4 linked regions of the Lonchura striata genome follow. The protein of the gene in region 3 purifies or fractionates together with the protein of the main gene of each other region. This does not show direct contact. Links are inferred from orthologs where the notes say so. Each region holds a gene or a part of one and is shown on either strand. Other genes may lie near its edges.

Region 1 (7,647 bases), on a different chromosome or scaffold from region 3:
CATTCAAATGCTGAATCTGACAATTGTATTGTCATACAATTTATAAATATATAAAATCATGTATACTATAGACTAGGGATTTTATGGGAGACAAAGCAAGACATCACCCTTGCTCAATGAATCTATAGCCTAAATTCTATGTCATCTACCAAGGACTAGTAACAAGCAGCAGAGACATAGACAAAACACAACAGTTGTTTAACAGCATATAAAATGTAAGCACATACTTCTACTGTGGCACATTCTTCTCTTTTATCTTTTGATAAAATACAAGAAAATAAAGATAAAATTAAGTAAATATGATCAATTACACAATACAGCATTTTCATAGAATATAGCAGAGAAAGAGAGAATGCTACATAAAATATTGTTACATGGGAAAAAAACCCACAGGGTATAAAAAATTTCCTTTTGATAAAAAGAGTTCTGCCTAACATAACAGCCAAAGCATTGTTAGGCCTGGCTCATGGGAACACCTACAAACTTAGTCTCATTGACTTAGTATACTTTCTCTTCCATTTCAAAGAATAGATGTAATTTCACATATCAAAAAGCAGTAATGCTGATCCAAAAGGCAGTGAAATGCTTTCCATGCTGGGTTAATATCCTGGGATGCAGAGGAAGCCAGAAAGAACAATTCACACCAGTGGCAATGGTGTTATGCATATGCACTCAGTGCTGCTTTGCAGTTAGCACTTGGATAAGTTTGTTGTATTAAAAATAACTCACTGATTAAAATGATTTCATTATTTCTAGGGTTCAGTTTAACACTTTAATATACAAAGCTTTGCAAAGTGATAACAAAATTCAGATCAGTTCCTGGATGGGAGCAGGACCTGGTGACTTACAAGTCAGCTAATTTCCTGCATTAATTGTTTACTTTCAAAATGTTTTCTCAAATGATACAGGCCTCCCTTGTTTGCAAACTTAACTAATGTGTTACCCTGTTTCCAGTGGGAGTTGTCTTCTAATTGTTTGCACAAGGCTCAGGTAAGCCCCACTGCTTCATCAGCAGATTCTTTGTTCTCACTATAAATTCCTCTGCTACATATGCTTTTCCAACAACCACTTTGCCTGGAAAAGTGGATCTGGACATCTTTTGTGAGTGCAGAATATAAATGAGCCTTTGACCTCTAACGACCAATAGCTGGTGTGTGGGATCTTTACCTCCTGTGGAAAGTTTCCCTCTGGATATTTTAATAGGTTATTACAATGGTGCTTTGGGATGAGTTGAAGTACCTGACTGTGGACTCAAGGCCTAGCCACTTGTCTTGGGAGAAAAAGTAATCGAAATGTCACCAGTCATATCACTCCTGTATGTGCCTTTGGTATAGAAATAAACATAACTTTTTATCCATGCCACTTACATGGCCTTTCCATGCTCTATGTCTATTTTTGAAATAGCAATATTTCTACTCACTTCAGTTAAGACTTCCCCTCATGAGCAAGACATACCACTGCTTATAATAATGAGAAAAACTTGAAGGAGAAGCAGGATGCTGTTAAGACATGAATTTGGTGATTACAAAGTATGATTAGCACAGAAAAGCCAAGTCTCATTCTTATGTTACAAACAGAAGGTTTCCTATACTCCTCTACCTGTGTATTTCCTTTCAACACTGGACTATTTCTGGGACAAATTCTATGCCTAGTTTTACTGCTGATGTGGATATAGAAATATGTATAAAGTGCTCATGTGCCATAGCTCACTGGAAATTATCTGTCAGCTCCAGATATGGATAACTGTTGAATAAAAACAGATCATCAATTGATTTTTGCAAAGGCTGTGGAATGACAATCTGACAGTAATTTGGAGCACATCTTGAACACACATAGCATGACTTTGAGAGAGCAGCCTAGAAAAAAAGGACACTGTCACCCAATGTCCTCTATCTCCTTCAATAAACACTAGTCTTTCTGCAGTTTTAAAATGCTATATGCCATTGGGCAGCCTCTGTGAATAATGATAGAATTGGTTTTGTAATTTCTCTAGTTTGTTAAGGATGTGTTCACACATAGCACATTCTATTTTCTTTCTGAAAGCTTAAGGATGGTCTATGCAAAGTGAAGAGAGATGTATCTCCAAACAGTGAAAACTTCTGTGCTCCTTAGGCACCTGTCATAGGAATGAAGGGGATATGTTGGATCACCTGGAGGTATCCATGTCTCCCTGTGATGTATAGAATAAACCCAGCAGACTAGACCAAACACAGAACTTCGACACTGCTAAATTTAAAAGCAATCTGTTCCAGCCTCTGTGAACTGGCAGATGAGTGGACTGAGAGAAAAACTTTTCATATCCATCTGCCTTTTGCACTGATACAGAATTCAACCTCCATTAAACAAAGGGTAGGAATGTTTGGCCAAACATAGACCTCTGTACAGATGTCTCTTGCTTGCTTTCTCTTTATAGCTGATAACAGACAGAAATAGAAACTTTTGCATTCCCCTTCTTAGGTGATTGAATGCTAATAGAAAGGGTTAGATGATTTGTTAAACTAACCAATTAAATGGGTTAGATATATTGTGCCTTCCAAGTATTCCCTCTCTTCACTAAGTTTGAAAAGGGAGGACAGCACGAGAGATACAAAACCTAAAATGAAAGCCAGAACATAAACAAAATAGTCTACAAAAATTCATTTTCATGCCTAACCTATTTTCTGACTCATCAAACTTATTCACAGTCTTGTTTCCAATTTTTTTTTTTTTTGTATTAAAAATTCATTCAAATTCTGAGTTGTACACTCCCTGGGAATGTGGTTGTTGAAAGCACCTTTATAAATACTCTTATAGCTTGCATCCAATTGTAGGATTGAGGTGAGGATGAATGATGTCAAAAGGCACCCTACATTGCTATCACTGAAACCTGAAGAGTCTAGCTTCCTCTTCCATGGAAGAAGTGCCTTAAAGTTTGGGGCTTAAACTGTTATTTTAAAACAGTACAGTGACATCTGAGGTACATAAAACATTTGTGTATATATGTACATTTCTGCATGTGTGCACAGAGGCGCATGCAGGTGTATGAATCACTTATAAGCTGCTCATACTGGCAAGTCTCATGTGGAAGTCAGAGTTGTGTGGTGGCTTGTCTGCCACTGCAGTTACCAACCAAAATTTATTCTATACTAAACTTATAGATTTTTGTATTTGAAATGTATTATAAATGCATAGAATTTATATTAAAGCATTATACAAAAAGCAACTTACATAGCAATTATTTGCACATTTTCTGGATTTTTAGAATTATATTTGACCAGCTAGTACAAGTCAGCAACTCTATTTTCTACTGCAACTGAACAATCCCAGGTACCATCTAACATGGAGCCTTGCTGGAGACCTGAGGAGACCAGATGGAGTAACAGCAATTTTAGTGATTATGGCAGGAGCTCTGACTGGAAGGGGTGGTTGGGAGAGAAAGCACTCATGCACCAAATTAAATTATATGACACTTCCTTTGCAATACACAGGTAGCACCCCAAGAAGCCTACAGTGTGCTGGAGTTAAGATCCATTAACAACAGGGCTGCCCTTATGACATGCTAGGAACTCAAAACATGACATTGAAAACATAACCCAACTGGCCTGGGGCTAGGGCAAGACACACTGCCTGGTAAAAAACTCTGTGAGAAACCAGGGCTCATCATGGCACCCCACCTTACCATGGCCTTCACATCTGCAGAGGTAACAGGACAAAAAGCAGAGTGGGCCTGAGTCACAAACCACAACACTGCGAAAATTCAATACCTTGGAGGGAAGGAATGCCCTCCAGAGGGACCCTGACACACTTGAGAGGTGGGCTGGTGTGAACCTCATGAAGTTCTACACAGCAAAGTGTGAGGTCCTGCACCCAGATTGTGGCAATCCTGGGCACACCTACATGTTGGGCGGAGAAGTGATTTGAGAGCCACACTGTGGAGAAAGACTTAGGTGCGATGGCTGATGAAAAAACTCAACACGAGCCAGCAGTGTGCACTTACAGTCCAGAAAAATCAGTGGAGTCCTGGGCTGCATCAAAAGCAGTGTGGCCAGCAGGGTTAGGGAGGTGATTTCCCCCCTCTGCTCTGCTGAGATCCCACCTGTAGTACTGTGTATAGTTATGGTGTGCCCAGCGTAAGGAGGACTGAAGGTTTTGAAGCAAGTCCAGACTAGAGCATGCCCCCTAACAATGCTGAGCAAATTGGGGCTGTTCAGCCTGGAGAACAGATGGTTTCATGGAGACCTCATGGCAACCTTCCCGTATCTGAAGGGGCCGACAGGGAAGCTGGAGTGACTCTGCATCTGTCCTTGTTGTGACATGACACGGAGTAATGGGTACAAACCGAAAGAGGCAGAATTTATGTTAGACATCAGGAAGAAATTCTTAACTGTGAGGACAGTGAGACACTGGAACAGGTTGCCCAGAGAAGCTGTGGATGCCCCATCCCTGAATTGTTCAATGCCAGGCTGGATGGAGCTTTGGCCTACTGCTGGGGGTCCGTACCCACGGCAGTAGGGCTGGGGCTTGATTCCTAACCCTCGGAACCCCAGCACTCTCCTACCCCACCGCGAACCCGCGGGACCCCGCGGGCCCGCCCCGCGCCGGGGCTCGGGCAGGCGCAGCCGGCGGCCCCGCCCCCGCCGCGTCCCCCGTTCCCGCCCCCGCCGCCCTCCGCGCGGCGCTTCCGGCGGCGCCCGGCGCGGCGGCGGCTCCGGCGGCCCGGGCGGCTCCGCCCTCCGGACGGGGTAGGGTGGCGGCGGCGGCGCTGCCGGGGGGCGCGGGGGGGCCGCGGGGCCGGGCCTGCAGCAGCCCCGGTGCGGGGCCGGCCCTGCGCGGCGGGAGCGGGCGGCCGCGGGCGTGCGCTCCCCGTCCGCCCACCCAGGGCACGCTGGCCGGGCCGGGCCGGGCCGGGCCTGGCAGGGCCGGTGCCGCGGTCGGGGAGGGGACGCGGAAGGCAGCGGCGGCACCGGGCTGCCCCGCTCGCGTCTGCCCGCCGCTGTGCCTAGGCCTCGGCGGGAGCTGCGTCCCGGGGAAGGGAACTGCCCCCCGGGGAAAGGAACTGCCCCCCGGGGAAAGGAACTGCCCCCCGGGGAAGGGAACTGCTCCCCGGGGAAAGGAACTGCTCCCCGGGGAAAGGAGCTGCCCCCCGGGGAAGGGAACTGCCCCCCGGGGAAAGGAACTGCTCCCCGGGGAAAGGAGCTGCCCCCCGGGGAAGGGAACTGTTCCCCGGGGAAGGGAACTGCCCCCCGGGGATGGGAATTGCCCCCCGGGGATGGGAACTGCCCCCCGTGGAAAGGAACTGCCCCCCGGGGATGGGAACTGCCCCCCGGGGAAGGGAACTGCCCCCCGGGGAAGGGAACTGCCCCCCGGGGAAGGGAACTGCTCCCCGGGGATGGGAACTGCCCCCCGGGGAAGGGAGCTGCTCCCCGGGGAAGGAAATTGCTCTCCGGGGAAGGGAACTGCTCCCCGGGGATGGGAACTGCTCCCCGGGGAAGGGAGCTGCGTCCTGGAGAGGGGAACTGCTCCCCGGGGAAAGGAACTGCCCCTGCCGGTGGAGAGCGCGGTTGCCGAAGGAGTGGGAAGGGGTAGGGGTGGGATGGAGCAGGGAGGAGGGGAGGAACAGTGCTGGGACCAGACAAAGCGGGCAGGGCTGGGCACGGGTTGTGCTCCTCTCCCCTGCGGGTCCTCCGCCGCTGCTCGGTCACTGCGGTGTTCCGCACGTACACGGTTTCACCCAGTTGCCCGATCACAGCACTACAGAAAGTAGGCGCCGAAGTTGCGATACTATTTTATTTTTTAGGTGTGTACTTTAGGGTGCTTCGCTTCTTGTGGATTGTTATTTGCTACCAGTGCAGGCTGAAAAATGGACATCGATTGGATGTGAATGGACATGATAAGGACAAGGGAACACAGTCTTAAGCTGTGAAAGGAGAGATTTAGGTTTGCCATGAGGAAGAATTTCTTCACAGGAGGGGTGACTAGACACTGGAATGGGTTGCCCAGGGAGGTGGTGGAGTTACTGTCCTTGGAGGTGTTTAAGTAAACATGGCACTTAGTGCCGTGGTCTAGGTGACATGGTGCTTTTAGGTCATAAGTTGAACTTGGTGATCTCAGAGGCCTTTTCCAACCCAATTGATTCAGTAATTCTGTGACAGTGGCAGATACCAACTACAGCCGTGCAGTGAGGAAGCAGCTGACCAGCAAGTAAACGCTATACAGAGTATACCTGCATGGAGGAGCAGTGTGATATCTCAAGAGACAAGTGAAAAGACAAATAAGGCAAATACCACAAATTCCTTTTAAAAAGTACTGTGGGAAATTTTTAATTTTTTAAAAAATTACATTAAGAGAAGAGTTTCACCACAGGTGGAAGGGTAGTTGGTCAGAATGAAGTGGTAGAATGCTGGTAACTTTAGGCTGTTAATAGAAAGGGCTGTCTGATAATTTACTCATGTTGAGGAGCAGTTTCTGTTACCTGGGGAAGCCATCTCCATAAGAGACAGGGTGGCCACTTTGAATGTGGAATAGGTACCAAAGAACTTTTGTCTCCATTGTATCTCAGTGCTAAACCGCATGATGAGTCTGGTCCTAGCAGGAATGCAGTCAGTGAAATGATCTGAAGTTCTTGGGTTTTGCATATTTTGGTACTTGTGAAGGCAACACAAGATAAAACTGCCATATATTCCAATTTTTTTCAAACAGTAAAATTATTAGTTAGAAGTGTGTGTGAAATGGCTTTAGTGCCAGAATATATTATGGGAAGAAACACAGCAAATGGGGCCTGAGTTTAAAGTATACTGTAATAGCTTATTAATTTTTAATTAATAATAGCTTCTAGTTTCAACAAGTTGAGTCTAGATGTTGGTACAATCTAGGTAATTAACAGCAAGAGATGCTAACCTGTGGTAAAAGTACTCTGTTTTAGACTAATGTAAGGATCCAGTATTCCCTCTGTGCATTAGTGTACAAAGATAATTAAGAGATTTCCCATTTACTGTCTCTTATCTAAGCGACACATATTAAATTGCATTAATCTATCTTCAGAGATCATACAAGCCCTTGCTTTTGTCATTTATACATTCTTTGTAATTTGTCAATGTTGCTGTTTCTTCTATAGTCAAATGAAGGAAAACTGCTCACTGCTCCCAAATGTGAGATTAGCAAAGCTGGTGTAAACAGGAATTATTACTTCATTATTATACAGAATTATTACTTATGGCTTTAAAAATCAAATCTTGTGTATGCATGACTAGCATGTACAACATTTGCTTCTCTTGAAATAGTACAAACTCTTCCCTATCATGTGCTTTTCCAGGGATGGCTCAGGGATAAAATGTACCATTTTTTTTTTTTTCCTAAATCTAGTATCTGTTACGTTTTCTCAGACATCTTCATTTCACAGCCCTTTGAAATCTCAAGTATTTTTCTGTGTACTTCCCACCTTTTCTCAGCAGTCTGGTTGGTGAATAGTCCTGTTTCTGCTTGTATGGGATAACATTATGGGTATTGAGGAGTTGCATTTGCCAAACAAACTAACCAAAATGAATAGGTAGAATCATAGAAGATCCTGAGTTGGAAGGGACCCATCAGGATCATTGAGTCCAACTTCTGGCCCTGCACAGGACATTCCAACTCTGTGCCTGAGAGCATTGTCCAAATCCTTCTTCAGCA
Region 2 (7,027 bases), on a different chromosome or scaffold from region 3:
CTCTCTCAGACTGGCTCTGGCTCTGTTTGCAAGATACCCACGTTGTTCTGAAGCATGCACCTCTCTCTGTATAGTCCCAAACTTCTGATTTTATGGAATACTTATGCCTGTTTGCATTACGGTCCAAATAAAAAAGCGAACGAAAAGCTGGCAGTTCTTCTCTCCTCTCTGGGTTTTTAACACCACGAGGCTGCTCGAGGTCTCTGCTGCTGCCTTGGCCTGGCCCTGCTCTGCCACCTGGAATGCCAGGGGGCCATAAATAGCAGTGACAATCAGCAGCACCCGTTCACCTGCCAGACACGACGCTGCCTCGCCAGGCGCCTGAGTCACAGCACTCCCCGGTGAAAAACACCTTCCCTCTCCTGTGAACATGCAAAAAGTTTAATGCAGGACAATAGGAGACGAGGACCATAAACATTTAAAAAGTTTAATGCAGGACAATAGGAGACAAGGACCATAGAGCAAAGACCTTTTTTAGGGCTGGGTGCATCCTGAAACTCAGCCAAGAGCACCCCTGCAAGTTTGGAAACACCCTTTATTTACCATTTCTAGTGCATCAATGCCTGTTGCATATTCACAGACCCTTATGCACAGTAAACTTTTCCCCAAACCAGTTTACATGTTCCAAGAAGTGTTTAGCCTGGCTCCTCTTCAGTTCCACTTTTTTAGAGCATGTGGATTCCTTGGTTGTGCTTTTGGTCCTTTTATCCCCTCCAATTTTCGGGTCTTGGTGCACACTGCCTTCAGACAGCGAGTGCTGATAATTGGAATATCAATAGCAGTGTCCTCACCCTGTGTTCAGTGGATTTTGTCCCATCCCAGCAGCAATTTAACACAAGCACACTGATATCAGCTATTTCACTAAGCTTAATTAAACAACAGAAATCAAAACTGCATCTTTATAACAAAGTTACTTTAACACCACACATATAAAATCCATTTAAATATTTGCAAAAAGCCAATATTGTAATACATATCTATGGATCCCATCATTTATCCCGTGTCCTCGGGGGAAATGTCACAGGGCTGGCTGTGTGCAAACCAGGGTGAGTTTTGGAGCCTTGGGAACACAGCAAAAGCAGTGCAGGCAGCAGCTGAGAGGCCTGGGAATGAGGAAGAAATGAGGAAGAAATGAGGAAGAAATGAGGAAGAAATGAGGAAGAAATGAGAAAGAAAGAAATGAGAAAGAAAGAAATGAGGAAGCAGCCAGGGCAATGAGGCAGAAATACAGACATGGCTTTTCCCATGGAAAAATGATTTTCCCATGGAAGGGAAAAGGGGCTCATCAAAAAAGAGATTTTTTACATGTCCCACTGCCAGAGAGCAGGGTTAGGTGGGACAGGGGGAAGGAATTGTTCCCTGGGAGGGCGGGCAGGCCCTGGCACAGGATATTGATACACATTGATCCACTTTAGGTATTTCTGCCTATTGATGAGGTCCCCTCTGTGCACCCCATTTTTGGTACAGATACATTAGAACCTAATTTTGGAGAATTTTGGACTTTCCGTGCTGACGGGCACTGGCCCTAAAGAGAAAACCATACCTGACCTGAGGCCGTGGAGAAGGCTTCCAAAATGGAATGATAAAACGAAGATGATGGGTGTGTAGTCTGACTAGAAGTGTGTAATACCACACAGTAGAAAACTTAGTTTGGGGTTTTAGAATATAGCCATATACATACATTATATAAATATATTAAAAATTATATATATATATATAAAACAAGATAGAGGTTTTAAGGTGGAAGCTAATCTTTCTTTACTTTCTTCTCTACAAATTTCAGTAGTATTGTGTAATTAGGCAAAAAAGTCCACATTACAGAACACAGGTAATTAGTTATTCAGTTAAAAATAAAAATAATTTAAGTGTCATTTCTTAATTAGGCAGTTTATCCTTAAAAGACCTTACACACCTTGCTAAGTGTCCTTCTGGTACCTCCTTTGAGATATTTTTACACACTGACATGTCCCCTTTGGACACCCCCTTTTCCATATTGATACCCATTGATGAGGCCCCTTTTGAAATCTTCTTTCTGATATTGATACCCATTGACAGAGCCCCCCTGTGCACCCCATTTTTGATACTGATGCACATCGATGGGGTCCCTTTTTGGCCCCCGTTTCTGATATTGATCACATTGATCCAGTCCCTTTTTGGCCCCCCCTTTCCAATACTGAGCACATTGGTCACTTTTTGGCACCCCTTTCCAATATTGATTCACATCGATATATCAGCCCTTTCTGGCCACTGTTCCCGATATTGATCACACCCATGTGGTCCCTTTTTGGCACTCCATTTCCAATATTGATCACACTGATCCCTTTTCTGGCCCCCATTTCCAATATCGATCACATTGATCCCTTTTTGACACTCTGTTTCCAGTACTGATCACATTGATCCCTTTTTGGCCTCCATTTTCAATACTGATCATACCAATGTGGTCCTTTTTTGACACTCCATTTCCAGTATTGATCACACTGAGGCAGTCCCCTTTTAGCCCCGATTTCCAATACTGATTACACTGATCCCTTTTTGGCCCCCATTTCCAATACTGATCACATTGATGTGGTCTCTTTTTGACACGACATTTCCAATATTGATCACACTGATGTAGTCACTTTTTGGCACCCCCTTTCCAGTATTGATCACATTGATCCCTTTTTGGCCCCCATTTCCAATACTGATCACATTGATCCCTTTTTGACACTCTGTTTCCAAGATTGATCACATTGATCCCTTTTTGACACTCCATTTCCAATATTGATCACATTGATCCCTTTTTGACACTGTTTCCAAGATTGATCACATTGATCCGTTTTTAACACTCCATTTCCAATACTGATCACACTTATCCCTTTTTGACACTCCGTTTCCAATACTGATAACACTGATCCCTCTCAGGCCGCCGCTCCCGGGACCAGCAGCCCCTGGGCCCTTTTGGTTCCGCTCCCATCCCTCTCCCGCCGCTCCCTTTCCCTTTCCCTTTCCCTTTCCCTTTCCCTTTCCTTTCCTTTCGTTTCCTTTCCCTGTCCCTGTCCCTTTCCCTCTCCCTCTCCCTTTCCCTTTCCCTCTCCCTGTTCCTGTCCCTTTCCCTCTCCTTCTGCCTTTATCTGTCCCTTTCCCCATTCCCATTTCCCCATTCCCATTTCTCTCTCCCGGCTCTCCCTTTCCCTCTCCCTTTCCCCATTTCCCTCTCCCTTTCCCCATTCCCATTTCCCCATTCCTATTTCCCCATTCCCATTTCCCATTCCCCTTTCCCGGCTCTCCCTTTCCCTCTCCCTTTCCCCATTTCCCTCTCCCTCTGCCTTTCCCCATTCCCATTTCCCATTCCCCATTCCCCTTTCCCCATTCCCATTTCCCTTTCCCTTTCCCCATTCCCATTTCCCTCTTCCTTTCCCTCTCCCTCTCTCTGTCCCTGTCCCTGTCCCTTTCCCTTTCCCCACTTCCCCATTCCCATTTCCCCATTCCCATTTCCCCATTCCCCTTTCCCTCTCCCGGCTCTCCCTCTCCCTTTCCCCATTTCCCTCTCCCATTTCCCATTCCCATTTCCCATTCCCATTCCCATTCCCCATTCCCATTCCCCATTCCCATTCCCATTCCCATTTCCCATTCCCCATTCCCATTCCCATTCCCATTCCCATTTCCCAGTCCCCATTCCCATTCCCATTCCCCATTCCCATTCCCATTCCCATTCCCCATTCCCCATTCCCATTTCCCCATTCCCATTTCCCCATTCCCATTTCCCCATTCCCATTCCCATTCCCATTCCCATTTCCCATTCCCCGTTCCCATTCCCCGTTCCCATTTCCCATTCCCATTCCCATTCCCCATTCCCCATTCCCCATTCCCATTTCCCATTCCCATTCCCATTCCCATTCCCATTCCCATTCCCATTCCCATTCCCATTTCCCATTCCCATTCCCATTCCCATTCGCATTCCCATTCCCATTTCCCTCTCCCGCCGCTCCCGGGCCCCTCCCCGGAAGCGCCGGCGGCCCCGCAGCGCAGGTAAACAGCCAAGATGGCGGCGGAGGCCGCGGGCGCGCCGGGGCCCGGCAGCGGCGGCGGGACGGGCCTGACGGACCTGCCGGGCGAGCTGCTGGAGCTCATCCTGTGCTGCGACGTGCTGGGCGCCGCCGACATCGGCCGCGTGTCCTGCACCTGCCGCCGGCTGCGCGAGGCGTGCCAGCCCCGCGGCAAGGTGTGGCGGGAGCGCTTCCGCCTCAGGTGGGCAGCGCGGCCGGCGGGGATCGGGCACCGCGGGGCCGGGCGCGGTCGGGAGCGGGGCGGCGGCCGGGCCGGGCGAGCGCCGCCGGCACCACCCGGCCCCGGCCCGAGCGGGGCACCGAGCGCTGTGCCGGGGAGCGCGGCTTCAGAGGCGTCACCCGTGCCGGGGCACCGCCGCTGTGCCGGGCCTGTCCAGCCCGGCCTGCAACGCTGGCGGCTTCTCCGGGCGGGTGTCCCGCACCCCCCGAGTTCTCCCGCAGGTCTTGTAGGAGATTTCTGCTTGCCGCCCTTCCAAAGCCCCGGGGAGGGACCAGGCTGAGCCTGCTGCTCGCAGGGGCTCCCCCTTGGCCGCAGATCAGTTCTGTGGCCCTTTCCACGCCGGGGCCCGTGGATTCCCTGCGTTCCCAGGGCCAGCCCGGGCTCTGGCAGTGGAACCATACACGGGGGTTGTGCATTGGGCCTCCTTGACCCCTCCAGAACTTCCAAAACAACAGGCAAGACCCATCTCAGGAGTGATGCTGGGCAGCACAGAGGTGTTCATGCATGAGGGTTTGGGGAGAGCTGTTCTCACAGATTCCCAGACCCTTGGGGTGGGGTTTTGCTGCTGTTCTGTTTCCCCCAGGCTGCTGTGCATGTTTTGCCTGGGGGTGATGCTGGTCTCAGCAGTCCTGGGGGCAGCTCCCCTCATCCCCGGGGCTGTCCAGCCTCATCTCTTACCTGCCTTTGTCTGTGTTGGCACAGGAAAAGCAGCAGAATTGCTTTCTCTAGCTGCCAATTGTATCCTGAAATTCAGCTCAGCCCATGTGTGGGGATTGTTCCCTTTTCATAGGGGTAAAAAAGCTGCTGAGGAGTTACAGCTTCCCCACTCCAGCAAGCCATGGCTCTGGGACTGACTTTCAGCAGTTCAGTGGCTGCAATTCCTGCAAGTTCCAGCCTGGTTGGGATCCAGCAGCTGGAATGGGTGATTGACACACGTTGCTCTCCTCCTCGGTAATGGAATTTTTGGCAGGAGGCTTCACCCTGGCCTTGCCATCCTGGCTGGATTCCATTGTGAGCAATGGCACTTTCATCTTTCCAAAATTCCCACCGTCCTTCCAGCCCATGAAATTCTCCTTTCTCATCCCAAAATAAAGGACTGTGATGATTATTGTGAGGTGGCTGCAGTTCAGCAGTAGCTGAAAGGCCAGGAATTCATCAGGAGAGAGGTTGTTATGTAATGTGAGGTTATTTGACTTTATTTTGTGGAGACAAGTGCAGGGGAGTTTTATTATTAACCAGCAGTGAAATATCTTCCAGGTGTGGTTTGCACAGCAGTAATAATCATTATACAGGAGGAGTGATTTCAGTATTTGGTAAATTAAATATATATATATATATCCTGGAAAGAACCTAAGGAAGGTGGTTTGTATAAATCAGTACAAATGAATAGCATGTCAAAATGTGGAATAAATCCCCCCATAAATGAAAAGAAACCCCTTTCTCTCAGCTTCATTTCCAAAATATTTCCATCTGTACTGATTCTTGTTCAGGTTTCTCACACAAGTGATCCTGGTATCTTCACAGCAGCAGGAATTGCAGTGCTGGCACATATTTTATGGCACAAAGTGTGTTGTGGCACCACACACCCACTTGATTCAAAAAGGTGCTGCTAACAGCCCCCAAAGCATGCCCTAAAGTTGGATTTTCAGATGAATTTGAAATTCTGGGTAAGCTGTGAAGTGTGTGGAGTGTGAGTCTCAGTGAAGGAGGGTTTTTTACAAGAAAACTGTGAGGCGGTTTATTTTTTTCCTTCAGACAATTATTTCTTGTCTCTTGTCAAACTGCAGAAGCATTTAGCTGTCACAATTTGACTTCAGATTGTATTTTCCTCCCATAGATGTTGCCACCAGCAAGGGCAGTGGAGGGAGCTGTGTTTTTAATGAGCTCCCTGAGGTGGTAGGAAAACACAGGACAGAGAATTCCCCTTCTGTTCAGTGCCAGCTTGGCTTCCTTCTTTGTGGCAAACTCTTTTAATTATAAAACTGAAGCATTTAGGATGTTTAGGTATTGAAATCCTGGAGTGGGAGCCTCTGAAGGTTTCAGGAGAGCTTGCTTTTAAATAATCATTAATGCACAGCTGCAGTCGGGGAGCTGTGCTTTGATGTCTGAGGTAATTCAATACAGTTGAAAGCTGGGCAGTGTTTGGGCACTGTCTCAGCCCCTCAGGTCGTTCTGGAGGTTCTCAGGGAGGTGAAATATTAATGATGCTGTTGGTTTGTGTGTGTGTGCAGGTGGCCATCCCTGCTGAAGTACTACAGCCACAGTGACGGTGTCAGCTGGCTGGAGGAGTACAAGGCACGGCACAACGCGGGGCTGGAGGCACAGAGGATCGTGGCTTCCTTCTCCAAAAGGTTCTTCTCAGAACATGTAAGTCCTCCCCTCTTTGTGTGTGTGTGTGCAGCAGCCCAGCCACTTGTCTAATAGAATCCTTAATAAAGTCATTAATTGAATCATTAAGGTTGGAAAAGACCTCCATGATCAGAACTGAACCGTGTCCCTAAGCACCACATCTTCACATTTTCTGAGCCCTTCGAAGGACCTCTGAAAAGCCAGAGCTGACATTCCTGAATTCCCTCAGGAAATCAAATCTTGCCACTGTGCAAGGAGGCTCTGAGTGGCTGTAGGGCTGCTTGTCTGAGCTTTATCTGCTGGACAGTAACCAGAGCTCAGTCAGGCTGAGATTTCTCACAGCATCCTGGGATGAAATCTTGTGTACACAAAGAACATCATTATTATTCTTTCAGAAATGTTGTGGCTTGCA
Region 3 (7,465 bases):
CTCCCTGTAAGTGCTCTTAACCAGGGCTTTTTACAAGAGCACATCCACCCTACACAGTTTCAGCTACAACAGCAGGAGTTACAGCTGTTCAGGCAGGAGAAAGCTGCTCCATAGACCTGAGAATCCTTTTTCAGCACAGTACCAGCTTGTCTCAATTCCTGTCCAAGAGGCTTCCTCAGGGTCTTACACTCTTACCTTCCAGCATAGTCTTTATAGTCACAGACTGTTTTGCAATTTCCACATCAACTTCAAAGATTTCTCCATCTGAACTCTGCAGTTTAATTGACGGCATCTACAAGAGAAGGACAGTTATTTCCACACAATTCTCAGCAGATGTTACAGGTTCAGCTGACTCAAAGATGTTCAGCACCTTTACTGCTGAAATTTTCTTCACAACAGCAGGAAGCCCAATGCCACTTCAGGTGCACTCGGATTATTCATGCCTTTAATCAACAGCCCTAAAATCATTAATCCTCATGCCCAAGAAACAAGGATTGATTGAAGTCTAACACTAATTCATGAGCTTTTTATTCTTAACTTGAAAGCATAAAATACACAGATTAGTCAACAGTGCTTTTATTTCTAATATAACACTACAGCTATCTTTCTCTTGAAAAAAATTTCAACACTTCCAAACCACCACTGGCCTTCAAATCCAAACAACTACTACTACTCACTTCAACTGCTCAAACGACATCAGATCTCAAAAGTAGTTTTCAAATTATAGCCTCTGGAACAGACTCATAACATTGAGGTTGGAAGGAGTCTAGTCCAGCCCCCCTTGCTCCAAACAGAGTTAAACAGACCAGGTTACTCAGGATCAAAGGCTTTCCTCCAGTTTGGTTTTCTGAAGAGATTAGAAAGTAATAATCTCCTACAAGGAAGGTCTTCAGCACTCACAACTGCCCTTGCAAAGCAGGAAGCAAGATCAGTACTTTGTTAGCACCTGAGATAACCATGCATTTTAACAAAGTTCCTCAAACTGTAGTAAGACCTACAATAAAGAGGCAGCAGGCTTGAAAGATGTTCTTAGCAAAAACACCATCAAATTCTGCAAAAAAAAAAAAAGGCACCATTCCAGATATGTAACAACTGAAACCCAGAAGTAAAGCACATGACACAGCAGCCAGGAGATGACAGCTTCTGTCTGAAACCACACGTGCAGACTGTGGGGAGCATCAGTGCACTTGAGCCAACCAAATGTACTATAAACACAACTGTCTGGCCACATAAATTTTATAAATTTGCTCTCAATCAGCTAGTAGGATGTGTTGTAAGTTCCTTTACCACTCAAAATATTTGTAAGCAGCAAACCATTGCAACAGCTTCCTTTATTTTTTGGTCCTCGAGTTACCTGCTTCAAGATCACTGAAGCATGTTTGTACAGCCTGCAACTACTGTGAACAGCTCTGGGAACAAAGAATTCCACTTTCAATTAAATCGTGTAAGTTCTTCCCCCACCAAACTTACAAGCCTCACACACTAGTTCCTCACAGTAGCACTTGAGCTATCAACAATTAATTAACAGGACCACTAGAAGCAACTTTGCATTACCTCTTTCTGAAAACTCATCAGTGTAGTGAGGCTGAGCCTGACAGTCCTGTGCAATCCCAGGCCAGGAGAGGCTCGGCCAACGCGTGTTATTAAGCAGCTCACACCAGCCCCGAGACCTCATTGCTTTAATTTCCATTTGGCAATGAGCAGCTAGTTAATGTTTACACAGCAATGTAACCCTATATGACAGTGCTACTTCTAATTAAGATGGGTGTTCTGGAGGAACACAGTCATGACTGTTCCAAAGGTACAAGTGTGTGTGTATGTGTATATATTTATATATATATATCTATATTTGTACACACATGCACAAAAGCAGGATCTGGACTACAGCACAGTTCTGCGTTAGCACTTTGAATGATGTTCAGGAAAAGTGCTGTAGGCACACATTTTAAATTTAATGCATCTGTTCTTGCAGTGACTGCCTGGGAGTACTCCAGAACAAACCCAGCTCCATAGGCAGCCTCCCTGTGCCTGGGCTTACATAATGCTGCACAGCAGAGCCAGGCAGGGATGCTGCCTTAGCCGGGGGAGCCCCAGCAAGGATACTTCCCTCCTATCACCCAAATCTGCTTCTAACAAGACCTTCAGTTATTGCTGAGGGTCTGAAACAGGTAGAACAAAGCTAAACTGCTGCCTTATCATCGACAACACATCAAAATTTCATAGACTTTTTTTTTTTTTTACACCACTGAACTCAGTTTCCTAGAAAACAGGAAAAAAAAACAAGTCTAATTTTTAGCAAGCTGCAGTACAGCTCGGGCAGGTGACAGTCCCTGGGCAGCAGCACTACTGGGTGACTAAGCAAACCAGTTCTAAAAGCTTTATTTGACAACAGCACAACAGGCTGCCAGCCGAGCTCAAGCCAAACCTGAATTACAGCGGTAATTTACTCGTCTAAGCCTGAAACGCCGAGCTCAGCCACCTACAGCTGCGCCTCTCAGCGCCATTCCGGATGGATCCCGCTGCCTCCCCCGCGCCAGCGCCGGTATCCAGGAGCAGGAGCAGGTAACGAACGCGCACCCGAGGCGCGGCCGCTCCGGGTCACGGCGGGCAGCGGGAGGCGGAGGCACAACAGCCCGGGAGCCGCGGGGGAGGCTCGGGCTGCTCGGAGGCTGCACTCGCCACCGCCGCGGGCACCGCTCCCCACGCCGCCCCCGCGGGAGCTGCACTCCCGCACGGCCCGGGCGGGCTCGGGCCCAGCGAGCCCCGGGAGCTGCATCCCCGCACGGCCGGGAGCGCTCACCTTTCCGCCCGGCCCGGCCCCCGCGATCGCCCTGCGGCCTCCCGACCCTCCGTCCGCGGCAGGCCGCGCCCTCCACGCCCACACGGCCCGCGCCCCCCGCCCCGCTCGGGCCTCACCGTGAGGCGGCGGCGGCTCCGCGCACGGACCGTGAGGAGGCGGCGGCGGCGCTCGCGCCCGACTGCGGCGGCGCTCTTATACCGAGCGGGGGAGGGGCAAGGACCCGCCTCCCGCCGCCTCGCAACGCCCGGGCTGCCCGCCGCGAACGCCTGAGCGGAACACCCCAGCGCGGCTCCCAAACGGCAAAAACCGGGACTCGCGCCGCTTCCGCGGGGTGCGGAGCGGGAGCGGAGCCGAGTCGAGCTCGGGGGGAAGGAGCGGCTGCCGGAGAGTTCTTCAGGCAGCGATGGAGCCGCGCCAGAAGCCGCACAATAGACGGAGGCCAGGGCCCTTCCCGCGGGCTGAGGCGGCGCCGCGGGCCCGGCCCGGCCCCGTGAGGGGGAACGGGCCCGGCCCGGCCCGGGGAGCGGGGAACGGGCCCGGCCCGGCCGTTGTGAGGCCCCGTTCCCCCCTGAGGGCCGCGCGGGGCTCCCGTGGCGGCGGAGGGCGCCGGTGTCCGGGGCTGGCAGCTCGTGTGGTGAAATCGGTCACTCAGGGTAACGCGGGCTCGCCCCAGGACGCCCACCGTGCTGGTTTTGCTTCACGGGGAGAAAGGCCGAGGCTCAGGGGTAAGCGAATATCTGTGAGGCTTCCCGCAGGTAAACACGGTGAAATGCCATCAGGGGTTCCTCCAGAGGCGGAAGACATTTTAGCCGAAAAACAACATTGAACAACCGGCTAGTTTAAAATTGTTCCAACATCAGACAGCCTTCCTCCAGTGGAAATACGTGCGGGAGCTTTCATGGAGCCAGAAATGGATCCAGCTGTGAGTGGTGCTCACAGAACATCTGCCCTAGGTTCCGCCAGGAATTTCAGCAGCTCTAGCTCAGCTCTCTAAAGCATCCCTGGACACCAGCTGTGCAAAGAGCCCCCGGGCCGAGCTGGGCACCCAAACACAGCACCGCCCCACCGGAGCACTGCCCCCAGCACGGGTGACAGCGGAAAGGTCACCCGTGTGTGCTAGAAAGCGACAGGTACGGGGTTTTCAGGGAAAAAAAAGGTATGTGAAGGGTTTTGCATTGTGAGGAAGGGCAGGGTATGAGCCCTCACGTTGCTGTGAAGTGTCACACATGCTCTGCTGCTGAGCCCAGTTTTGCCTCAGCTCTCCATGGCAAAATGGGTTTCAAGTAAGCATGGCATTTACACAGTGACAACGCAGGATTCCGACAATTTGCTTTACTTCCAATCCTAAACAAAAATGTATTAGGAACCAAAAAGCATGTTTTCACACTGCTCCAATGCAGACACAGCCAGGATGCCTGTAAGCACACTGATACCTGCAAGAGCACCACACTGCAGAGTGCAGCATCATTCATAGCCTCAGGCAGCACCAGGGGAGGTTCAGGTTGGACATCAGCAAGGATTTCTTCCCTGAAAGGGTTGTCAAACACTGGCATGGTGGTGGAGTCACCATCCGTGGAGGTGTGCAAGAAACAACTTAATGAAACAATGAGTGCTCTGCTCTGGTTGACAAGGTGCTGATCAGTCAAGGGTTGGACTTGGTAATCTTGGAGATGTTTTCCAGCCTTAATGTTTCTGTGTTAAGTCACAGGTTTCCCATCTCCTGGGGTCCAAGAGAATCCCAGGCTGTGCACCCCACACATTTGGGAACAAATGACAGCCAGACCCACTGGAAAATATCTTCTAACATGAAGAATTTTCCCAGGATTCAGAATTTCTTAGTTGAGAATCTTGTTTTGCTCAGTTCAGTAGCCAAGCCAATGACTGTCAAGTATTCCTTACTCCTTCCCTCCTTTGCTCCCTTCCCTTCCATCTGAGAGTAGAATCATAGAATGTTAATGGTTGGAAGAGACCTTACAGCTCATCTGGTCCCCTTCCACTAGATCAGGTTGCTCAGGGCCCTGTCCAACCTGGCCTTGGACACTTCCAGGAGTGGGGCAGCCACAGCTTCTCTGGGCAGTGAGACTGCAATTAGATAAGTATTCAGTATTGAACACCTTGTTCATTGGGGCTGTTCTCTGAAGAGATGGAAGATTCAACAGATTCTCAGCTAGGAAGAACAGCCTAAAGCTCAGCTGGTAGCCTGGCTGCTCTCCATCAGAGCATATCACACAAACAGGCCTCTGTACAAATTCCCGAGAACCGTTGGAGGCGACTGCCTGCCTTGGGAAGCTTGTTCCATGGGCTTTAGGATGCTGAGCAGCTTGTTAGGGCAGACTGAATGCAGCTCTGATCTGACTTTGTAGGTGGATCCAGGTCACCCCTGTGGTCCCTTCCAGGCTGGATTGCTGTGTGCTTCCCTGAACTCTTCCCAACAGCTGAGGGAGCAGCCAGGGGGCAGGTGATGCTCAGCAGCAGACTTGGACACTAACAGAAGTTCCCCAGAGATCCTGGTATTGATAACCACATAAGCTCTTTGTTCACCATTGAATGGCACCTTATTTTCATTTTTAATTTATATGTATCTCATATATAGAGTGTGAAACCTCCAGACTACATCTAACATGATTTTTTGATTGTACCAGCATTGCATTTACCTCTTTCTTCCTCAATCACACCATCTCATACTCCTGTGCTGAGAACTACATTCAGTTCACTAAAAACCATTGCCTTTATTTTCCTTAAATTATTATTTTTTATTTATACTAAAACTTTTTGGTTTAGAGAATCAGACAATAACAGAAGGTGGCCAGTGGAAAACCTGTCTACAAATTCTAAAGCCCCTTTCCCAATGTTGCCGAAGACCAAGGTTTCTGATTTGGCTCATGACCAGCAAGCACAAGCTCACAGACTACAAATCAGGCTCAGCAAAGGGGGGATGGGGTTTGTGCTCAACACAAGAAAAATATAATGGACTCTAGAAACAGGCAGAAAGCTAAATTCCATGCTTAATTATAGTTGTGCATAAATTTAATTCAAAATTATACTGCTGATTATACTTGGTACAGTTCTCTACAGTTTTCCAAAGGAAAAAATTCCATCCTCAGTGAATTTTGAATCCTACTGTTGAATTAGAAGTTTGGGAAAGTTAAAACAGCAAAAACACCCCACACCCCAAAAAGAGACAGATGGCTGTCACAGATAGGCTATAATCACACGACAGCACCTCCCACTGTGCCCTACATATCACACAACAAACCTCCCCAGCCACTCCAGATGCTTCCCGTTATCAGTTGTGAAAAAGCAGCTGCTGCAGGGGCAATAGCCCAAGTGCTGTGAGTCAGGCAGTATTAATGGCACAAAACCCCTATCCCTGGCTAAAGCTGCGAGGCAAAAACAAGATTGCTTAAAAAAAGGAGTGGCCCAATTTCAATTGTTCCACACACAGGTAATGATTGCACTGCAAATAATCCTAAAGCTGAGCATTCCTCTCCTGAGTGCAGGGAATCACACCATGTGTCAGCCACGGGTAAATTACAATTAAGGGCCTTTGACCACTGAGAACATGAAGGAGGAAGGGAACAGCTTAACACCAAAGCAAATACCTGAAAAGATTTGAGCTTGATTTAATGCTTAATCAGATCCAGAAGAGCCCTGACCTACATATTCACAGCATCCCTGGGCTGCAGGTGCAGCCAGTTGAGCAGCTATGCAGCCACAGGGGAAGAGTTTAACATGCTGAATGTGAGGGAGCAGCCTCCTGGACACAGCCCTGCATCTGCTCCACAGCCTCACATTCCACTTTGACAGAGAAACAGCATTTTTTTTAGCTGCTGGTGGTGATTTAGAGACTGGAGGTAACACTGATTATTTTTCAATACAAATGTGATGTGGCATTGTAAAAGTCTAATGACAATCAGGCTTGAAAGAGCTCAGCTTTGCTTCATCAACAAGTTGGAAAAATCCACAGAACTCATCCTGAATTCATGGAACCAAGGAGAGCAAGCCAGGGAGAGAGCCTGGTATGACAATGGAATCTGAAAAAGAATCTAATTTACATGTAGGCGAGAATGAGACTTGCTGCAAAAAATCATCTTTTTTCAGGAATACAAAAGATGAGCATTTTTTTAAACAAGCAGCCACATCAAGTTTGAAAATAATTGAACTGACTGGTTCAGTGTAAAACCAGAAAACATCAGGATTATTCATGTGAGAGAGATGGTAGAAGGACACTGGCAAGCTCAAAGGCCACTGTTTTTTAAAGCAGTCTTGGAACAATGCAGCAGCAGAAGAGGAAAATTCTTGTTCTCAGTACAAGTCTGAAAAAGCTAATTATATAAAAAGCTAATTATTGCATTTCCACTTCAGAAAAATTTATATTGAAGCAGCATCCTTTAGAAGGTGTCACTCTTCATAGAAGTTGTACCCCAGCAATGCAAAATGGTGGGTGGCAGAGCCCAGCACTTGGGTGAGAGTCCAGGTCAGAGAATCAGAGAATCCTAGAATGATTCAGGTTATCAGGGACATTAAAGCTCATCCAGTTCCAACCCTCTGCTGTGGACTAGACCAGCTTGCTCAAGGTCCCATCCAACCTGGCCTTGAGCACTTCTAGGGATGGGGCAGCCACAGCTTCTCTGGACAGCCTGTGCCAGGGCCTCCCCATACTCA
Region 4 (7,873 bases), on a different chromosome or scaffold from region 3:
GGGATTTGTTTTTTTAATAAATCTGCTTCTGTAAAAGTGTGTTTGCTTAGGAAACAGTGTATGTGGAAAATGCCAAGGTCTAACAATTGGCACAGAACAATACAGTTGTCATTCTGCACATGGCTATACTCATTTCAAACTCATTGAAATGACACTAAAGAAGGGGGGAGAAATTAGCCCATTTTTTATCTAACTACAAAAAAAGTAATTAAAATCCTCTAGAAGAATATCACACATATTTTCAATCACTAATATCAGAAATAAAAAAAACTATATTGATTTCTTGACATATTAATAGGAATAAAGCAGTAAAGAGGTATTTTAACTGCACAGAAGATGAAAATTATATTATTTGCCATAAGAAAATGCTTCCTAAAATTATTGAATATATTTGTTTTTGTGAATTTTGCTAGAAACCATGAGCTGATTCTTAAATATCCCGGAAGGAATAAATAATGAATAACACATACAATGTAGAGGTTTATCCCACATATAATGGCCTGTGAAGGAAAGAGTTTATTACATTAGGGAATCAAGTAAACTACAATTAGTCTAATTGTTAAATCATTCAGAATATTTTCTAGTTCTTCACCAGAGGTGCCTGTAAGTAGGTCTGAACCTTGCTTTACTGGAAAGCATATGGAAGAAAAATGACACATGACTAATTTAGCCGAGAGATCTGTGATCTGTTCACTAGTACTTTTTGTGAGGATATATACAGTCTGTCTGATTGTTTTCTAAACTGTGGAGGAAAAATACCAAGGATTCTTAGAATTATGTTACTTTTAGCTATTACAGGGAAAATTGTCAGCAAAATTATAAGATCAAACCCAAACTACTATACAAATACATTTTCAACATTTTCAGCAGCACCACTAAATTATTTTCTCTGGCATACCTCACCAATATGTTATCAAAGCAGTAAGTATACAGTGTAATTCAAATAAGTCATATGAATGTGAAGTTTGTGGTAAAAACAAAATTAAAGAATATTCATTAGTAATTGATCCTCAGAAGATAATGAAGACTCTCAACTGTGGTGATATACTTTTCTTAAGCCAGAATTAGCAGTGGACAGCAGAAAGTTTTCTTTTGTATTAATGCAGTACTTTAAATGTAGTCTGCATAAGCAAAGGGGAACAGTACTCATCACTTGCCAAAGAATTTTAATGCAGTTATTAACAGTCATTACTGGCCTTCTCTCCACCTCAATAAAACAAAAAAAAAACCCCAAAAAATCCAATAAGAAACCCCACAAAAATCCCCAAAAAACCCAAACAAAAACAAAAAACAAACCCAAAGCAAACCAAAAAAAACACCACAATATAGCGCTTCAACCTTCAGCCTGCAGGAATTTCATCTGACAGAAGTCAGCCTCCTGATGCCAGAGAATCAGCCATGAACACACTGCTATGTAACATAAACAAATCCACAACATGGTGTTTTCCCAAATACAGACAGAATAAGACTTATCACAGACTATAAATCCACCACAGCCAAGCTATTTTGAGTGTTAAGAGCTGCAGCCCCCAAGTTCTGGTACCAGTTTGCTACCCAGGAGCCAGAGCTCTGGGCCATGTGCCCCCCATTCCCCACCACACCAGAAGCAGCACTACCTTGGACCAGAATCTCCAATAAGTAGTGGGAGAAGCACTCGAGTTGTCAATTACTGACATTCCAACTACAGCCTTCTTGGCATCTAAAGCATTTAATTCTTGTATTAGGCTTCAGTGGGGTCTGCACTTAGATTTTGGCATTTTTCAGAAACATGACAGGAGGAAGAAAAGGTTCTCTCAGCTAAACAGGCAGATGTAAGACCTGCAGGGTCATGAGGACAACAGTGAAGTCCTATGTGTCAATTCCCAGGAAATTCCCTTCATGACCAGGCCAGAGGCTAGATGGAAGGAATGTCTTTCATTGTGCCTGCTGATAGTCTGTTATTCTGAACAAACTAATCCACATTCATTGGTCCAGGGAAGCAAGGCATCACTTTGCAATGCAACAATTAAGGTCCCTAGCTGGGAGTAGGGAAATTTAAATTTCAATCCCTATTACAACACTGCTTTTCTAGGCAATTACCATATAATATTAAAGTACACAAGCAACCATTAAGAGTCAGGAACAAAATCTGAGTTCCCTAATAACCTATTCAAAACCATCCATTACCCTGGATATCAGCAGGACACAGACTGGGCCATCCTGTGCTGCTGCATTTTTACTGTTATTGATACTCAAGTTACCTGGTACTGTTGCAAATTATTAATACCTGCTGCAATCATATCTATTATTAAAGACAGACATACATTTATCTTGGAGTATGAATGCATCTGAAAGTATCTTTCAGAGCCATTTGTGGAGCCTGCTCCTGACTACTTCCACTGACACAAAACAGGGAAAGAATATAAAAAAGATCTGTTATCTCATTTATTCCCTTTCCCATCTATTGTGATATTCACCTCTTGCTTTGGTGTCTCAAATTCTTTCCCATGTTTATTCTACTTTGGGGTCCAGGCTACTTTCACCCTCATCATCCTTTGTCTTTCATTTATCTTCCTTATTTAAATGATTTCATCTTTCTTCCCTCTTTTTTTCCTCATTTCCTTCCCTTCAATTTCAACATTCAGTGACATAATCTACAGTATTCCTCCTATATTTATAAAACTTAAAAATGCATGGACCAGAAGAGGTAAGGAGGAAAAAAAAAAAAAAAAAAAGCAGAGAAGCAAAAGTCATTATCTCTTAAAAAAAATCTAAGTATCTGGTTTTCAATTTGATTTTTCTCCTTGATTACTGCTGTATGAAAAGCCTAGACAAACAACAAAACCAGGAAAAAGTAAAGAGCCATCAGAGTGGAATGGTTACAGCAAACGCTAAATGAACTGTGATCTTTGTCAGGATAAAGATCAACACCACAAGCTTTCAGCTGTAGCGATCAGTCGATCAGTCGATACTTCCCAGACCATCGCCACGGTGACAAAAACAGAGGCATTTTTAAGTTGTAATTGAGATTAGCCTTGATATATACAGTTGGAGCCATGCCTGTGAACTCTGCTAAAAGGCTGGCTATGTAAACTATCTGCCACTCAGTTTCACATGAGCAGTGACCTAATGACACCACAAAAATCTCACGATGTCCCTTGCTCCACACGTTCAGCCACAGCAGCAGATTCATGCCAGGGTGCTTCAGCTGTGCTACTGAAGTGTTTTCTTCCCAAGGTCTGGAGCACCACACAGACTATCCTGGGGCGCTCAAGTTTTGTACAATGCTCAGCATTGTAACCCGAAAGCACTCTTGCTCTGATCCAGCTTACTAGATTTTCAGTCAGGTGCTAACTGAAAACCCATACATAATAATACTGACTCCAGCACGCTTTGGATGAAGCCCATAAAGACACACAAGATTGCTTCTCATGGATGGGAATAAAATATTTTGTTTGTTACTACTAAGCCAACCACAATAAATAGTTCTCTTTCATGTGGTGATGAAACAAAGCAATCCTTTTCTAATTATTAGGTTGAATGAAGCAGTGTCTTCTTGGCATGTTTAATTCTGAATCATATTCATCACATATATAAATAGCCAGCAACTGTATATAGTAGAGAGGGCAGAGAGGAAGGTCAGGGAACTAGCTTGATGTCAAGAAAGCATTTCCTGTGGAGTCACCAAATCTGTCCTGGATACAGACTCTTACGTTGGCATACAGGGAGCCTGAGGGCAGCTGTGCCCTCATGCACCAGACATGTCAGGTAAGCGTCTCCAACCTTGCTGGCATCTCGAAGCTTCTCTTCCCCAGAAATCACATGAGCATAATTTACTTACTAGGGCTTTGCAATGATGAGTAAAAGATTTTTCCTCTCTGCCTCATGTTATGGGTAGTGCCACCACTGTGAAGACACAACTTTAGCGCCAAATCCTCAGCAGCTACTCCACTGGGTCAGGGAGACTTACCACAATATGAACTTTCTCCACTGAAATCCAAGTGGACAGATCCTGGAGGGAACTGCTGGCTCTACTACTACTGAAATCCAAGATGTCAAGCTCTAAGTGGCAGCAAATAATACTGTGGACAGAATGCTAGAGTTACGACAGAGTCTAGCGTTGTGTCCAGTCACTAAACTCACACACTTTCTATCTAGTTTGTGTTTATAAACCACTCTGCATAAACACAAACTTAGCTCAAGACTCATTGCACAGCTTAGGCCATCAAGAAAATTATGCCTGAACCTCCTGAGACTTCTTATAACCTAGACGTTGCCTTAGTTTTGCTACATACTGTTTTGCTAAGGTAGCTCTTAGCAGACTTCACAGAATCCTCGAGGTTGGAAAAGACTTTTAAGATCATCCAGTCGAACTGTCAACCCAGCGCTGCCATTGCAACCAGTAAACCCATCACCGGGCACGAGATCCAGACGCCTCTTAAGCATCTCCACGAGCGACGACTCCACCACGACTCCCTCCCTGGGCATCGCAAGAGGCTGGAGGAACTTCGCAGGAACAAACTTCTTTTCCACGCTGGCTCATTCGGGCCGGCAGGCGTTGGGCAGGCGAGCGAGCGGCGCGGCCGCGGCAGCGCCCGGGGCGGCAGGGAGGCAGCCGGGCACGGCGGGGCAGGGCCCTGCCGGGGGAATGCGGCCCGGCCGGCCCAGGCGCTGCCCCGGGCGGGTGATTTAGCCCGGCTCTCCATCCAGCGCCGGGGCACCCCGCGGCTCCTCACCCCGCGCGCCGGCCGGGAGGGCACGCGCGGTTTAGGAACCGAAACGAGAGCAGGCAGTTTTGTCGCTGTCGATTGTGAGTTTGAAACAGCGCACTTTGCCCGGCTGGAGCAAGGTCACTGCCATCCGCCGAGACCCGCGCCCCCGGTCCCGCCGGCAGCCTTCAGGATGAGCGGCCGCCCCGCCGGCTGGATCCTCCTCCATCCCGTGCGGTATTTTTAGCGCTGGCCCAGTTCCCCCGCTCGGCTACCTGCGCCTCTCTCCCCGCCCGGCCCGGCCCCCCACGCCGACAAACGCATCGCCCAGGGCCGGCCGGGCCAGCGCCAGGTGAGGGGGCCGGCTGCGGGGCAGGTGCGCCGGACGGCGCGGGGCGGGCGCGGGGCGCTGCAGGGCCGGCCCGGGGCGGGACGGCCGCGCGCGCCGAGCCCGCGGCGCTGGCCGGCAGCGGGCGGGCTGGGGCGGGCGCGGCGCCGCCGGGGCCGCCGCGGGGGCGGAGGGGGGGCGGTGCCGGCGGCGAGAGCGGCCGCGCCGCAGTTCTCTGCAGCGGCGCCGATCTACAAGTGAGGGGTAGTGTTTGCGTACTGCTGTGGGTGCTGACTTGCTGTCTTTTACAGAAGTGTGAGTGCTCCCCTTTCTTCCCCTCCTTTTCTTTCTCTCCTCGCTCTCTCAGCGAGGGCTTCGTAGGGTGGCCGGATAACGGGGCACGGGAGCGGAGCGCGGCTGGGGCTGCCCGGGCGCCGAGGTGACTCCGCCGCTCCGTCCTGCCCCGCTTACTTTCCTCCCGTTCTCTGTGGCGATGCCGCCCGCGCGTTTCCGCGGGCCGGGGAGGTGAGGCGGAGCCGCGGCCTCGGGGCGCAGCGCAGGTGCGGCTGCAGCGGGGCCCGCCCCGGGGCTTTCCCTGCGCTGGGGGGTCGCAGCTTCGGCGGGCCCGAGTCGTGTGTTTGGAGTTTTCGATATTGAGAGATACGGAAATTGTATATGGCTGTCGCAGCTTTTTTTTTTTTTTTTCCCCCTTTTTTTTTCTATCTAGGTGAACACTGACACCGTGTTTGATATATGTGAAATGTGCTACAGCTTGCTCTTGTGCACCCGGAGTGCTTTGGTCCTGCACTACAAGCATGAACACTCCTGAGCTTTTTAAAGGAGTATTTTTAATGCTCACTCCTCTGCTTGCTGCTATTTATACCATGCAAGGTTGGCAAGGAGAGGAGAGCCAGAGTTTGAAAAGGACATTGAGCTTTAACTTGATACCATTGTTCCAAGGTGAGAGAGTGCAGTTATTTAAAATAAAGCAAAGAAATGCCCAGAAAACAACCTCATGAAAACATTCTACCTCTCTGTTTTTGTGCTGCATGATCCAAGGAAAGAACTGAGTATCCCCTTCTGCTTAGGTTATGTAGGTGATGGTCTGCTATGGGGTCTAAGCCTGTACTTAGGTTTTATGGTTTGTTTGCTTTATGTTTGTGATATGATGGACAGTTTAGCTGGTTAAACCCCACACGGAGGGATTATCTGGAAGATGAAGTCTCACACTGGCAGATGCATGACTTTCATTTAGGTGAAAGAAATCACTACTGGTCATTACTGGTCAATGCCTATGCATTGTAAGGCCTTAGAGTAGCTATAATGTAAAATATTGTTAACACTAAGTCTGACAAATTGGATGATACCTGTGCTGTTGAATATATATTAATGGGTAAAAAATTTCTTTCTTCTTTTGCTGATTTAATTTGGTACACAGTAGCAACTCTCAAAAGTCAGGAGAGCTACAAGCTTCTTGTATAGTGAAGCTTTAATTTTGGGAAAAGTTTTAACCTTCATTGCTTATATCACTAAAATTTTCAGAGTGGATGGTAATAATTAATATGATGGTTCTCCCTCTCTGGATTGCTAAATAAGATTGGTATTAAAAATTGTTGATTCCTCGTGACATGCATCGTGCTCTGGTGGAACTGCAGAGCAGCATTGTAGCGGCTGGCTCGCGTGACTGCACACCAGCCACTGGGGTTAATTTAGTTCTCCTAGTGCTAATTATCGTGGGTTAGCAATAGATTGCATTTGAGCACCGTTTTTATGGAGTAATTGTACGTGTGGTAACAAGGCTGTGCTAAAAATTCATTTAGTCACTTCTAAAGTATTGTAAAGCTTTGACTTCTAACTGAGATCACTCTCTTCAGAGCTGTGGCTGAAACAGTGATCATAATCTGGTAAATCTGATGCTAAAACTTTACCTAATATGATTTTCCATCCAGAGTAAGCATGATTCTGTATGTAATGATTCCATAAGTTGAAAATATTTGAACAAATGTTAAATTTCTAGTAGCTAACCCCTTAATTGCGTTTCATGATATTTTTGAGCACTTGTGATTCAGTAAATCCATCTTTACTGCTGGATGCATAATTGTTCCTTATTCTCGCACATTTTACTTACAGCTGAAATCACTGTCTGGGAATTGACTAGCTGCAGAAGTGCAGTGTCAAGGCCTTGTAAAAGTCAAGATTTGACAGAGTAATGACACTCTAAATGCATTTGGAACTTCTGTTTCTAATTCTTGCATTTTGTGGTTTCAAACATTGTCTGCAACCACATATGTTAGAAGTGGGTTTCTTTTTTAAGCAGAGCCAAGAGTCTTGTACAAAAATGTCAACTCTAAGGAGGCTTTTTTTTCTTTTTTTTTTTTAATCTTTAGGGTTTACTATTGAGCTGAGATGTAACATGTCAGGTATCTAAATGGTGTCAACAATCTAGCAAAATAATTGCTAAGATTTGTAATAGGAATTGTGGAACGCAGATTAGCTAGCTGATAGTGTGGGACTTATTTTTCAATCTACAGAAATAAAAACACACTTGTGTTTTTATACATATATATGTGCTATGTACATGTATAAATGTATAAGTTTTGTATAAAAATGTGGCATATTACATAGTCATATGAGATGTGAAAATGTACCACTGCTGTATTTTGATTGCTTGATGATGAGAGATCAGATTATGTGGACAGAAGTGCCATGTGTGGGATTTATGATTCAGCAGAACCTGCTGAGGTGATTGTCTGCCCTAAGTCCCTGTTTCTGTTCTAGTCATTTTGTTCTATTCATGCAGTTTTGTGAAGTATACTGATTTACTGTTTAATTGGGAAAATCAATCATTTTTAGTTGC

What was found.
Region 1: the proteins of SKP1 (region 3) and FBXL4 purify together in Homo sapiens (affinity purification with western blotting; 9 studies listed by BioGRID and IntAct, with this or other methods). This does not show direct contact. The link is inferred for Lonchura striata from reciprocal best matches to the Homo sapiens genes SKP1 and FBXL4.
Region 2: the proteins of SKP1 (region 3) and FBXO21 purify together in Homo sapiens (affinity purification with mass spectrometry; 6 studies listed by BioGRID and IntAct, with this or other methods). This does not show direct contact. The link is inferred for Lonchura striata from reciprocal best matches to the Homo sapiens genes SKP1 and FBXO21.
Region 4: the proteins of SKP1 (region 3) and MTUS1 purify together in Homo sapiens (affinity purification with mass spectrometry; 3 studies listed by BioGRID and IntAct, with this or other methods). This does not show direct contact. The link is inferred for Lonchura striata from reciprocal best matches to the Homo sapiens genes SKP1 and MTUS1.

Annotation. Positions count from the first base shown.
Region 1 is NC_134605.1:74,118,384-74,126,030, forward strand, and holds the start of FBXL4 (F-box/LRR-repeat protein 4), read left to right. Parts: upstream 1-4,644; 5' UTR 4,645-4,721; intron 4,722-5,390; exon of another isoform or gene 5,391-6,255; intron 6,256-7,647. UniProt on the Homo sapiens protein: Substrate-recognition component of the mitochondria-localized SCF-FBXL4 ubiquitin E3 ligase complex that plays a role in the restriction of mitophagy by controlling the degradation of BNIP3 and NIX mitophagy receptors.
Region 2 is NC_134620.1:3,272,747-3,279,773, forward strand, and holds the start of FBXO21 (F-box only protein 21), read left to right. Parts: upstream 1-4,009; 5' UTR 4,010-4,021; coding exon 4,022-4,227; intron 4,228-6,497; coding exon 6,498-6,633; intron 6,634-7,027. UniProt on the Homo sapiens protein: Substrate-recognition component of the SCF (SKP1-CUL1-F-box protein)-type E3 ubiquitin ligase complex.
Region 3 is NC_134617.1:9,574,441-9,581,905, reverse strand, and holds the start of SKP1 (S-phase kinase-associated protein 1), read right to left. Parts: upstream 3,010-7,465; 5' UTR 2,917-3,009; intron 293-2,916; coding exon 196-292; intron 1-195. UniProt on the Homo sapiens protein: Essential component of the SCF (SKP1-CUL1-F-box protein) ubiquitin ligase complex, which mediates the ubiquitination of proteins involved in cell cycle progression, signal transduction and transcription.
Region 4 is NC_134606.1:29,696,493-29,704,365, reverse strand, and holds the start of MTUS1 (microtubule-associated tumor suppressor 1), read left to right. Parts: upstream 1-4,873; 5' UTR 4,874-5,040; intron 5,041-5,199; exon of another isoform or gene 5,200-5,331; intron 5,332-7,873. UniProt on the Homo sapiens protein: Cooperates with AGTR2 to inhibit ERK2 activation and cell proliferation. May be required for AGTR2 cell surface expression. Together with PTPN6, induces UBE2V2 expression upon angiotensin-II stimulation.